2 linked regions of the Kluyveromyces lactis genome follow. The protein of the gene in region 2 interacts with the protein of the main gene of each other region in a pairwise test. Links are inferred from orthologs where the notes say so. Each region holds a gene or a part of one and is shown on either strand. Other genes may lie near its edges.

The links. The genes of interacting proteins can lie anywhere in the genome.
Region 1: the proteins of GCD11 (region 2) and CDC123 interact in binary tests that used the Saccharomyces cerevisiae proteins (3 or more experiments, as listed by UniProt). The link is inferred for Kluyveromyces lactis from reciprocal best matches to the Saccharomyces cerevisiae genes GCD11 and CDC123.

What each region holds. Positions count from the first base shown.
Region 1 is NC_006042.1:487,780-492,895, forward strand, and holds CDC123 (cell proliferation protein CDC123), read right to left. Parts: upstream 2,185-5,116; coding exon 1,084-2,184; downstream 1-1,083. Other genes in the region: FRE1 (ferric/cupric-chelate reductase), read left to right, coding at 1-566; chaperonin-containing T-complex subunit CCT4, read left to right, coding at 2,757-4,349; CRD1 (cardiolipin synthase), read right to left, coding at 4,610-5,116. UniProt on the Saccharomyces cerevisiae protein: ATP-dependent protein-folding chaperone for the eIF2 complex. Binds to the gamma subunit of the eIF2 complex which allows the subunit to assemble with the alpha and beta subunits.
Region 2 is NC_006040.1:897,796-903,056, forward strand, and holds GCD11 (translation initiation factor eIF2 subunit gamma), read right to left. Parts: upstream 2,064-5,261; coding exon 501-2,063; downstream 1-500. Other genes in the region: GTPase-activating protein SST2, read left to right, coding at 1-363; leucine-responsive transcriptional regulator LEU3, read right to left, coding at 2,531-5,261. UniProt on the Saccharomyces cerevisiae protein: As a subunit of eukaryotic initiation factor 2 eIF2, involved in the early steps of protein synthesis.

The DNA.
Region 1 (5,116 bases), on a different chromosome or scaffold from region 2:
TGAAATCTGGCGTTGATGAACTTAAATACAAGATCTTTGTTGAGGGACCATATGGTGCTGCTTATCCATGCCACAAGAATTCCACCCGTAAATTTATTGGTTTGGCCGCAGGTCTAGGTATCAGTGCTGTCTTCCCTCATATCAAATCCGTCATTGAACAAACGTCAACCAATATTGTTCATGAACTTAAATGGATTTCCAATGATATGAACTGTTTGAACTGGTTCAGCAAAGAATTGGCGTGGTTAGCATCTAATAATTGCAAAATTACCTTCATCTATACCAAGGATATCGGCTCTGATACGGAATCCGTATCCGACTACTCAGAAAAGCCAAAATCCATACAAGACCAAAAGATTTCGTCTAAAATTGAAGTACTGACATTCAGTACTCGTCCGGATATGAACCAAATCGTGCATGAAGCCATTTCTAGTAGCGAAGAGGACATTTCTTTTGTATCATGTGGCCCTTCTTCCTTCATTGATGTCGTTAGATACAGCGTCAAAAAAGAATTAGCCAACACTAAGGTAGACGTCGATTTAGAAGAGGAGTCCTTTACTTGGTAATACTACCAAAGAAAGATGAGATAGCGGCCAGCAAGGCCGCATGAAATAGCATGAAGCAGAACATTGAGTAATTTATATCCCAGCGTTTATTTATTCCACAAACCTATTTTTTAATAGTTAATCATATCAGTACTGTCAATATTATTTACATTTAATTATAGCCTTAACTATATAATCAATTCTCATTATAAAGATACTCGCATATAGCTTGAAAGCCATTAGAGAACATGTGTTAGAGTGTGCTTTTATTAGATTCAAGGGTACGGCATAACTACAGACGGTATCAGTTATCGTGCAAATTTTGAAGGTAATTTATCCACGACATATCGAACTTTTTTCGAACATAAATAGGTAAAATTGTAGATAATTATTTATAGTGGGTGTGCCATGCAGTTTGGTGAATGGCAGGTATCCTACGGGTTACTCATTGGTATTTCTATGGACAAAGATGAGCGAATTATCATTGGCCAGAGTTAATGCATGGATGCTGATGAATAAAGAACGTATTATTATTCCCTTAATTGCTATCACTATCGCTCTCCGCTTCTTGCATCTTAAGGATCTCTTTCCATTTATATGTTAGTTCTCTCATTGACTCGGGATCTAAACTAGCTTGAACTACATCTTTGGGTACTTGGTTCTCTGAATGCTCTTTGGTGACGAATCTACCCATATTGTGTTCTGTGATGAGTCTAATTTCAGGACTGGCATCGGAATCTAAATCTTTCGAAGCCAACTCGTTCCAGGAGAAAAGTAACGGGTCTGTAGTTCTTGACCAAGGATTTATATCTATCAGCCAACATGATTCAAAGGGTCTGGGTAAATATACATCCAACACAAAAGACTTTAGGTCGAAATTGGGTAGCACGATATCATAAACGAATTCCTCGATAAGGTTCGTGAATGTATCCTGTAAAGGTTCCAAATAATTATAATAATTCAAATCCCTTTGTGATATTCCCCAAATTTCAGAATCTCTGACGAACACCCTAAATTCCAGCGCAGGGTTTATGTCAAACCATTTCCTTAATACTAGTTCAAACTGGATAGACTGATTGTCCGAATTGTCCCTATCCTCACATTCATCAAACGCATGATCCAAATCGTATGCGATATAGTTAGACGCATTTAGTAAAAGATAAATGTCATTCACATTCATACATTTGGAAGTATTATTGGGCAAAATCCAAGTAGCATCTCTTGGAGCAGACCAGTTGAGTTTCGGCGTGACTGCGCCATACTCACCAATCACTTCAGCAATCTCTCTATGAAGATCGGGGAAATTAACCATAGGAACCATCTCTTCTTCTTTCCCATTTTTATCATCGTCTGAGTCAGAATCATTATCACCATCGTCGTCTGCCTCCCAATCACTGTACTCGTTATCATCGTCACGCTTTAAGCAATGATCATTATACGTAGAGTCATTCTCTTCCAAAGAAAGCCTTATCCCGTCCTGAGCCAAATATCGTAGAAATTCCTCGGGCAGCGGTTGAATAATCTTAGCCTTTGGTGTATATTTTTTGAACTTATCGTACCATGATGAGAAACTACATGCCCTAATGTCATCTGACCTCACCTTAATATCAACTAAAGGTGTATAGCTTTCAGCTGCCATGTCAAAGAAGAGGAAACAAACCGTTTAATGCTGCTATATATCAACTACCTCTTCCTAAACATACAAAGTCGGATAAAGCAGCTGCACTTTTGCTATTCGAGCTTGCGATGAGATGTCAATGAGATGATCTTGACCTTTCACATCAAACTAACTAAGAGAAAAGGTTGATCAGATTCTGAATATCACGTGACTTGGGATTTTGTCTTGTCAATGTGTCATATTGCACGAAATATCAACCTCTAGTGGCAAAAAAAATTGTTCTATGGCCCTTTCTTTACTATGGGAGAAGAAGTGAATCTCAGTAGTATTGACGAAAGATCGAAAAGTACTGAAAATGACATTTTATTTTGATTTTAGTTACTAGGAATGGTTTTGATTATGGTGAAATAAATGATGATGGGTTTGATTTTGAAGCAAAGAAACACACATAGGCCTCATTGTTTAGTTTGTATTATAACTGCAAGTGACTTTACTCAATTCTTTAGCGGAAAGTTCTAATTTGTTTTGGCAAAGAACTACGGATAAGTTTATCGTTTGGTATTTTTCCCCAATCGTAAAGAGAGTTTGAAAAGATGGTTTCACAAGCTAAACAACCTTCCAATGCGACCTTTAAGAATCGTGAGAAGCCACAAGAAGTTCGTAAGGCCAATATTATAGCTGCCCGTGCTGTGGCCGATGCAATTCGTACTTCTTTGGGTCCTAAGGGTATGGATAAGATGATCAAGACATCTAGAGGTGATATTATTATTTCCAACGATGGGCATACCATTTTGAAACAAATGGCTATCTTGCATCCAGTGGCTAAGATGTTGGTTGAAGTTTCTGGTGCACAGGATGTTGAGGCTGGTGATGGTACTACCTCGGTTGTTATCATGACAGGTGCACTATTAGGTGCAGCTGAAAAGTTGTTGAATAAAGGGATCCATCCAACTATTATTGCGGAATCTTTCCAAAGAGCTGCTGAAAGATCGGTTGAGATTTTGTTGAACATGTCAACGAAGATCTCGTTGGACGATAAAGAGGCTTTAGTTCGTGCCGCATCTACCTCGCTAAGTTCTAAAATTGTGTCACAACATTCTTCATTTTTGGCCCCATTGGCCGTAGACTGTGTGTTGAGCATTGCCTCTCATGATTCGACTAACGTTGATTTGAACGATATTCGTTTGATCAAGAAGGTTGGTGGTACCATTGATGATACTGAGATGGTAAATGGTGTTGTCTTGACACAAAATGCGGTAAAAACTGCCGGTGGACCAACTAGAATTGAAAAGGCAAGGATCGGATTAATCCAATTCCAAATTTCTCCTCCAAAGCCAGATACTGAAAATAACATTGTGGTTAACGATTATAGACAAATGGATAAGATTTTGAAAGAGGAAAGAGCTTACTTGTTGAACATATGTAAAAAGATCAAGAAGGCCAAATGTAACGTGTTGTTAATCCAGAAGTCTATCCTAAGAGATGCTGTAAATGACCTTGCATTGCATTTCCTCTCAAAATTGGGAATAATGGTGGTCAGAGATATTGAAAGAGATGAAGTTGAATTCTTATCAAAGAGTTTGGGTTGTAAACCAATCTCTGACGTTGAACTATTCACCGAAGACAGATTAGGCTCTGCAGACGTAGTAGAAGAAGTGGAAAGTGATGGTTCCAATATTGTTACCATCACTGGTGTAAAGACAACCAACAAGAACCCAACAGTGTCAGTCGTCATTCGCGGTGCTAACAACATGGTCTTGGATGAAACTGAACGTTCTCTACATGATGCTTTATGTGTCATCCGTTGTTTGGTTAAAGAAAGAGCCTTGATTGCAGGTGGTGGTGCCCCAGAAATTGAAGTTTCATACCGTCTAATGAAGGAAGCGCGTACCATGGAAGGTGTGGAAGCATTTGTTTGGCAAGAGTATGCAGAAGCACTAGAAGTCATTCCAACGACATTAGCCGAGAATGCAGGTTTGAATAGTTTGAATGTTGTCACGGAGTTACGTTTGAGACACGAAAATGGTGAATCCAATTCTGGTATTTCGGTAAGACGTTCTGGTACCTCAAATACTTACGAAGACCATATTCTACAACCTGTTCTAGTATCCACAAGTGCAATCAGGTTGGCTTCTGAATGTGTTAAGTCTATTCTACGTATTGATGATATCACTTTCAGTCGTTAATAGGCCAATGTAGTTTCTTCTCCTAAATAGATTTGTACATTAAAAACGAAACTGATAATATAGTTTAGAATAATATTCTACTCCTTTAGAAATATTAATACTAACCAGCTATATACAAGATTACGATTGGCGTTACGAGCACGAGATGGATTTGCCTTTGAAGCAAAGTTGTTCTTTCTAAATGCAGACGCAAAGGGCGAAGATGTATCGACCAAAATTATGCAATTTATGAGTATGGATGGCGAGATGGTAAAAATAACTCACTTCAATTTACTCAGATAACGGACAGCATTTTTATTGAACACGTAGGATGCTCCACTCCATACTGTCGTTACACTGACCAAATAGCCCAGTAAAGTAAACGCAAATTGACTATTTTCCTTCAACAAACCTTCTTTGCCTTCCTCCTCATCTTTAGTGTTATTTATGATCAAGAGGACAACACCAAATCCTACATAGATCATTTGTACGAAAGTGTTCCACTTCGAAATTTGCGTTGGTTTAACCTCTGCGCTTGGATAATGGAAAATATCCCAATACGAGTTCCATGTAACAGAGCCGTAACGATGCTTCATTGATGCATACCTGAAATAAATGGCACTCAACCCCAACAATAGATCTCTTCCGAAAATAAGTCCAGCAACCGCTAACGGAATGATTTGGGGGCCAGAAGGTACGCACAAAGCGGCTGTCGTTGTCATCATTAATATCTTATCTGCCATTGGATCAAGAACTGTTCCAGCTACAGATTTCATCTTGTACGATCT
Region 2 (5,261 bases):
CACCCTCAGTCTCCAACTAAAACTGCGTTCGACACTTCAGGCAAGGAAAATTGTTCAAGAGCCATTTCGGATGCATCTGTTAATAGACCCTTAAGCCTCGATCCTGCTGCCCGGAAGAAATGCGTGGAGCATAAAGTACAATCCCATAGTAACACGTCAATGCCATTGGCGCCGACACCTCTTAATAAGGGTACTGAGTCATACGTCATTATTCATGCTATATCAATGTTGAAGGATTTGTATCAGTTACTGGAAAAAATCAGAAATACCGTATTTATCATGATGAAGAACGACTCTTTGCCCAAATTCCTGGCAACAGAATCGTATAGGGACGCAATTTCATTAATAACTGCTAACAAGTAGAACCTAGGCATTTCATCATGAAGAATAAAGATATTCATCTTGCAAAAGAATGTGGCCTTTTCTACCAAGAAAATGGAACATTAATGTGACAATATATACATATAGACATATATAAAATCATTTAGTTAATTTACAGATTAAGCGATTGGTTCAAGAGTGGTACCCTTCTTGATAGTAGCCCAACCAATTAAACGCCAATGCTTTTCGATACGTCTAGATAATGCAATCTTTTCATTAACTTCTGTACATGCAGGGGAAGTTAATTGTAATCTTGCCATATCGGCTTTGACGGCAACCACACGGGCACCAGTAGCGGTGGAACCGATGTTCACCATTAAAACTTCATTTGGCTCTAACTTTCTAACCTTTGCTTGTTTTTGACCATCGGTCTTTACACCTAATAGACGACGCAATAGGAAGTAGTTAATTTCGATATCGGTGTAGATAGATGGCAAATGGCCCTTAGCACCAACGACTTGACCCACTAGACGATCTGCTCTACATAACGTTGGATCGACCTTAGTACCAACACCAATCAAACCACCTGGAACGGCGAATTTTAGGTCGTTGTGTTCAGCAAATAGGGAAACGATATTGGAGAAAATTGGCTTACATTGAATCTTACCATGATCATCTTTAGTGACGATACCTGGTCTAATTTCGATCTCATCGCCTAATTTGAAAACACCAGTCAAAATGGAACCACCGGCAACACCACCCTTCAAATCTTCGATTTCGGCACCTGGCTTGTTAACATCAAAGGAACGAATGACAATCAATCTCGGAGACGCTAAGAAGTCTCTTTGAGGAACAGGAATACTTTTCACGATGAATTCATTCACAGCATCAATGTTATATTTCAATTGGGCTGAGATTGGAACGATTGGAGCACCATCAGCGATGGTACCTCTAATAAATTTCAAAATAGATTTTTGATGTTCCAGAGCAGAGTCTTCTCTCATTAGATCGACTTTGTTCTGTAAAATGATAACGTGCTTCAACTTCATAATTTCGATAGCAGCCAAATGTTCAGAGGTTTGTGGTTGAGGACAGGATTCGTTACCTGCGATTAGAAGTAGTGCTGCATCCATAACGGCAGCACCAGACAACATGGTAGACATTAAAATATCGTGACCAGGACAATCGACAAAGGAAACATGACGGACTAGTTTATAACGTCCACTGTAACCTGGAAGATCAACCTTTGGTGCAACTTCTTTGTCAGATCTGAAAGACTTATAACAGTCTGGTTCTGGGCATTCTGGATCTTCTGCTTTATAGATTTTGGCATTGGCGTAACCTAATTTAATGGTAATATTACGTTCTAATTCATCCTTGAAACGAACGGTTTGAACACCTGAAATAGCTCTCACAACGGTAGATTTACCGTGAGCGACATGACCGATAGTACCAATATTGATAGTGGCTTGTCTATTGATAATTTCTGGTGATAGAGGGTTCAACTTGGAAAAATCTGGGTTCGTTGGTTGCTCTGGAAGACCACCACCTTCTTCAAATTCTCTCTTTCTACGTTCTTCATCCGCTTCCACATCATCAATCCCACTGAAAGTAACAGTCTTCTTAGGCTTCACTTCATCAAAAACTTGCTCCTCTTCTTCAACCTCAAATGTATCTATTGGCTCATCATTAAGATCCCCATTGATGACAATACTTGGCTCTTGGTTTTGCAAATCAGACATCCTGAACTTTAGGTATTATAAACAATCAGAAAAAACTATCACTAGATATCCTTTTTGATACTTTCCCAAATACTGCACCTGGCCGTTCTATTCTCTGGAATTAAACTCGGTTGCTAACAAGATCTTTATACCTTTACACCTTCATTACTCATCGAGATTAATCATATCCACATATATCTACTCAATTCTGTTGAAACTGATTTCGAATTTGGCATTCTTACAATTCAAAAAAATTTTCGATACAAAGTAACGATTTCGTACAGAAAGAGAAATCTGGTGGTATTTTCGATCACGTGATTATGTTTTAAGTACTTGGAAAATGTGCATAACGACATCTGGTTTTGCTTAGGTTTCTCGCCAGTGACAGGTTAGCAGTTGGTGTCATTTCGCAGTATCAATCTGTTAACCGATGATTTAATTCGTCTTATAATAAGTATTTATAGAAATATATAACCAATAATTTAATATTACAACGTCGGATTGAATGCGAATTCGTTCATTAGAATGTCGACATCTTTCCAAACAAGATCTGATTCCCAGTTGTCCCATCTTTCCGTAAGACCTGGAGAAATTGAGGGCGTATCTTCCTTTCTGTTTTCAGTTCCTTCTGATATTATCGATTTTGTAACGGACTGGAAGGATTGCGGTATTGGTGGCTCCAACAACTCATTTAAGGACTGCGCAGCAGGATTGATCTTTCGAGTCGGTTTACTATGATTTGACGGACTTGAAACCCTAAATTGTGGGGAGTTCGTTTTCTTGGCGGTGGTAGAATGGTTTATGAGTTTATTGTCTGTGACGGCGTTCAAAGGATTTAGAGATCTGGGATAACCGCTAGTTTCAACATTGGAAGCACCAGCATGTGTGTTTGTAGGTGATACTATGATATTGTTGCTAGGGGAAGATGAAGATGGCATTGTACCATTTTTCTGTTTCTGCAAAATCTCGTCCTTTGGGGACGTTTTGTTTAGGATTGATTTCAATGACAAAACGTCACTACTATGTGAACCGTTCGGAGATGTAATATTGCTTCCACTGGACTGCTGTGCATTGATGGGCTCTGGGTCAAGTGGAATGGTAGATATAATCCTTCTGGCATGTTCTTCGGAATACCCATCGTTGGGCAGTAGTTCTTTGGACTCTGCATCTCCGTTATGGTTATCGCCACTATTTTCATCATCAGAGGAGACTGTCTTTTCTCTTTCTCTCTTTAGTTTTGCCATACCGCACTTCTGTCTTAATATGAACAAGCAGTCAAAGAAAACACTCACAGACATTCTAGATCTTATGGTAATACTCAAGTTAAAATCCTTTTCTGACTGTGTTGAAGAGGAACTTTGGTCTTTCTTCGCTTTCCACTCTTCGAACATGTTGCTGAACATGCTCCATATACTTCTCATAATACCAGCTGATCTATAAGCCATATCGTACTTGAGGACAGAAGCATTCGAAATTAATGATACAGCATCTTGATAAACTTCATGACCAGTATCGACATCGATAATTGAGCCCAATGAGGAATGGACTAGCTTTGATATTATTGATGCTGCCTGCCATATATTAAGAACATAAACACCTGGAAGATATTTCACAGCTAGTGGATCCCGTTTCCACATACATTTCGCATGTTTCAAGAGTTTTACGGCTGCATTGTACGCTATTACTAGTCCTCTTTTAGTTGCAAAGCTTGTTTCCATGTCTTTCACAGATATTTTTTGGACGGAAGTTGGATCAACATTATCGGTAACATTGCTAAAATAGTGCGTCAACAAGTGCACCTTCGTTACGAGAAGTAAGAATCTTCTGATATCATCTAATTTCACATTATCAAGCTGTAACTCTAGTTCGCTTAGTTGTCTGTTCAAAACGTGTAATAATGGTAATTTTTCCTCATTGGCAACAAGGCCGCTCATATTACTAGGATTTGAGTTCATAGTATCCACGATTTGATTCTCGAAATGAGCAATTTGTAACATTTGTTTGATGGAAAAAGGTATGAAATCTGTCGTACTACTCTCTACTGTTGAAATCTTGCAGGTATTTATAACGGTATGGTCAAAAGAGACATATGCGGGGAACCCAAAGGAGGCAGATATTGTTTGTGATACAATATTACAACAAATCCACGTTCGTATCTGTTCATGAATAAGTTGCGAGTTTGCTGATGCATATTCCGTGGAAAACTGAGCACTGTTGAGTCCCACGCGCAGTGCTTGGAACATTGCAGAACCGATAGTATTCCAAGATGTGTCGGCGCTTAGCGATGACGTTAATGGTGGCCAATACGTGTATATTAAAAATGCCTGCACCGAGTAAACAGAAGACACGTTCAAGACAGGCTCGTCAGATTCCATTGGTGTGTACCTAATAATCGGAGAAATGGTAATTTCTGCCAAAATAGATTTAACCATATTCGAAAGTTTATTCATCATCTCTATAGCTTCAAATTTACGTCTAAGCCCTACTAGTATTATAACCCAAAAGAGACAAGGAGATAGGCTGTATATTCTTTCAGGACCTTTTGTCACATCCACCACAGGTAAAAAAGGATGATACTTGGTTGTGAATTCGCTGAAAAAGTTAGCAATATCACTACTCGATAGAGTAACATCTCCCAAAGTTTTTGGCTGGCATTCTAATTGCTGTTTTGTAAGTGTTATAGGCCCATCTAGTTTCGTCCCTGAACCAGTTGTGTTCGATGATACCGCTATTGAAACAAAATCATTTGTAGATAAAACGGTACGTAATGCAATCTCCTGACCGCCAGTTGAGTTACTTCTCGAGCCAGTACCAATTGAATTTTGATCCCATGGTGCCTCAGCACCAGTGCTCGTCTCCACCTTTATCAATCCTAAATCTTCCGGAAGTCTCAATGTTTCTGCATCTAATTTCTTCAACAGCTCTTCAGAACCGAGATTCGATAATGACTGGGTTAATTCCTGAAACTTTTTTGCTATTACCTCGTTACGTGCTCTCTTACAAGTTCTCCTGAAATCCTTTTGAAGTACACAGGGTACACCTTTCTTTAAGCACCTTGAACAAGGCTCAGGAGCCCTTTCATGTGCATCACACTTTGATTTTTGTTGCCGACATTCCACACACGCCAGTTTCTTCTTCTGTGGCATTTTCTTGTCATTACATAATTTCACACTTACAGGGGTAGAAGAAGCACTTGAAACACCACTCATATCGCCAAAA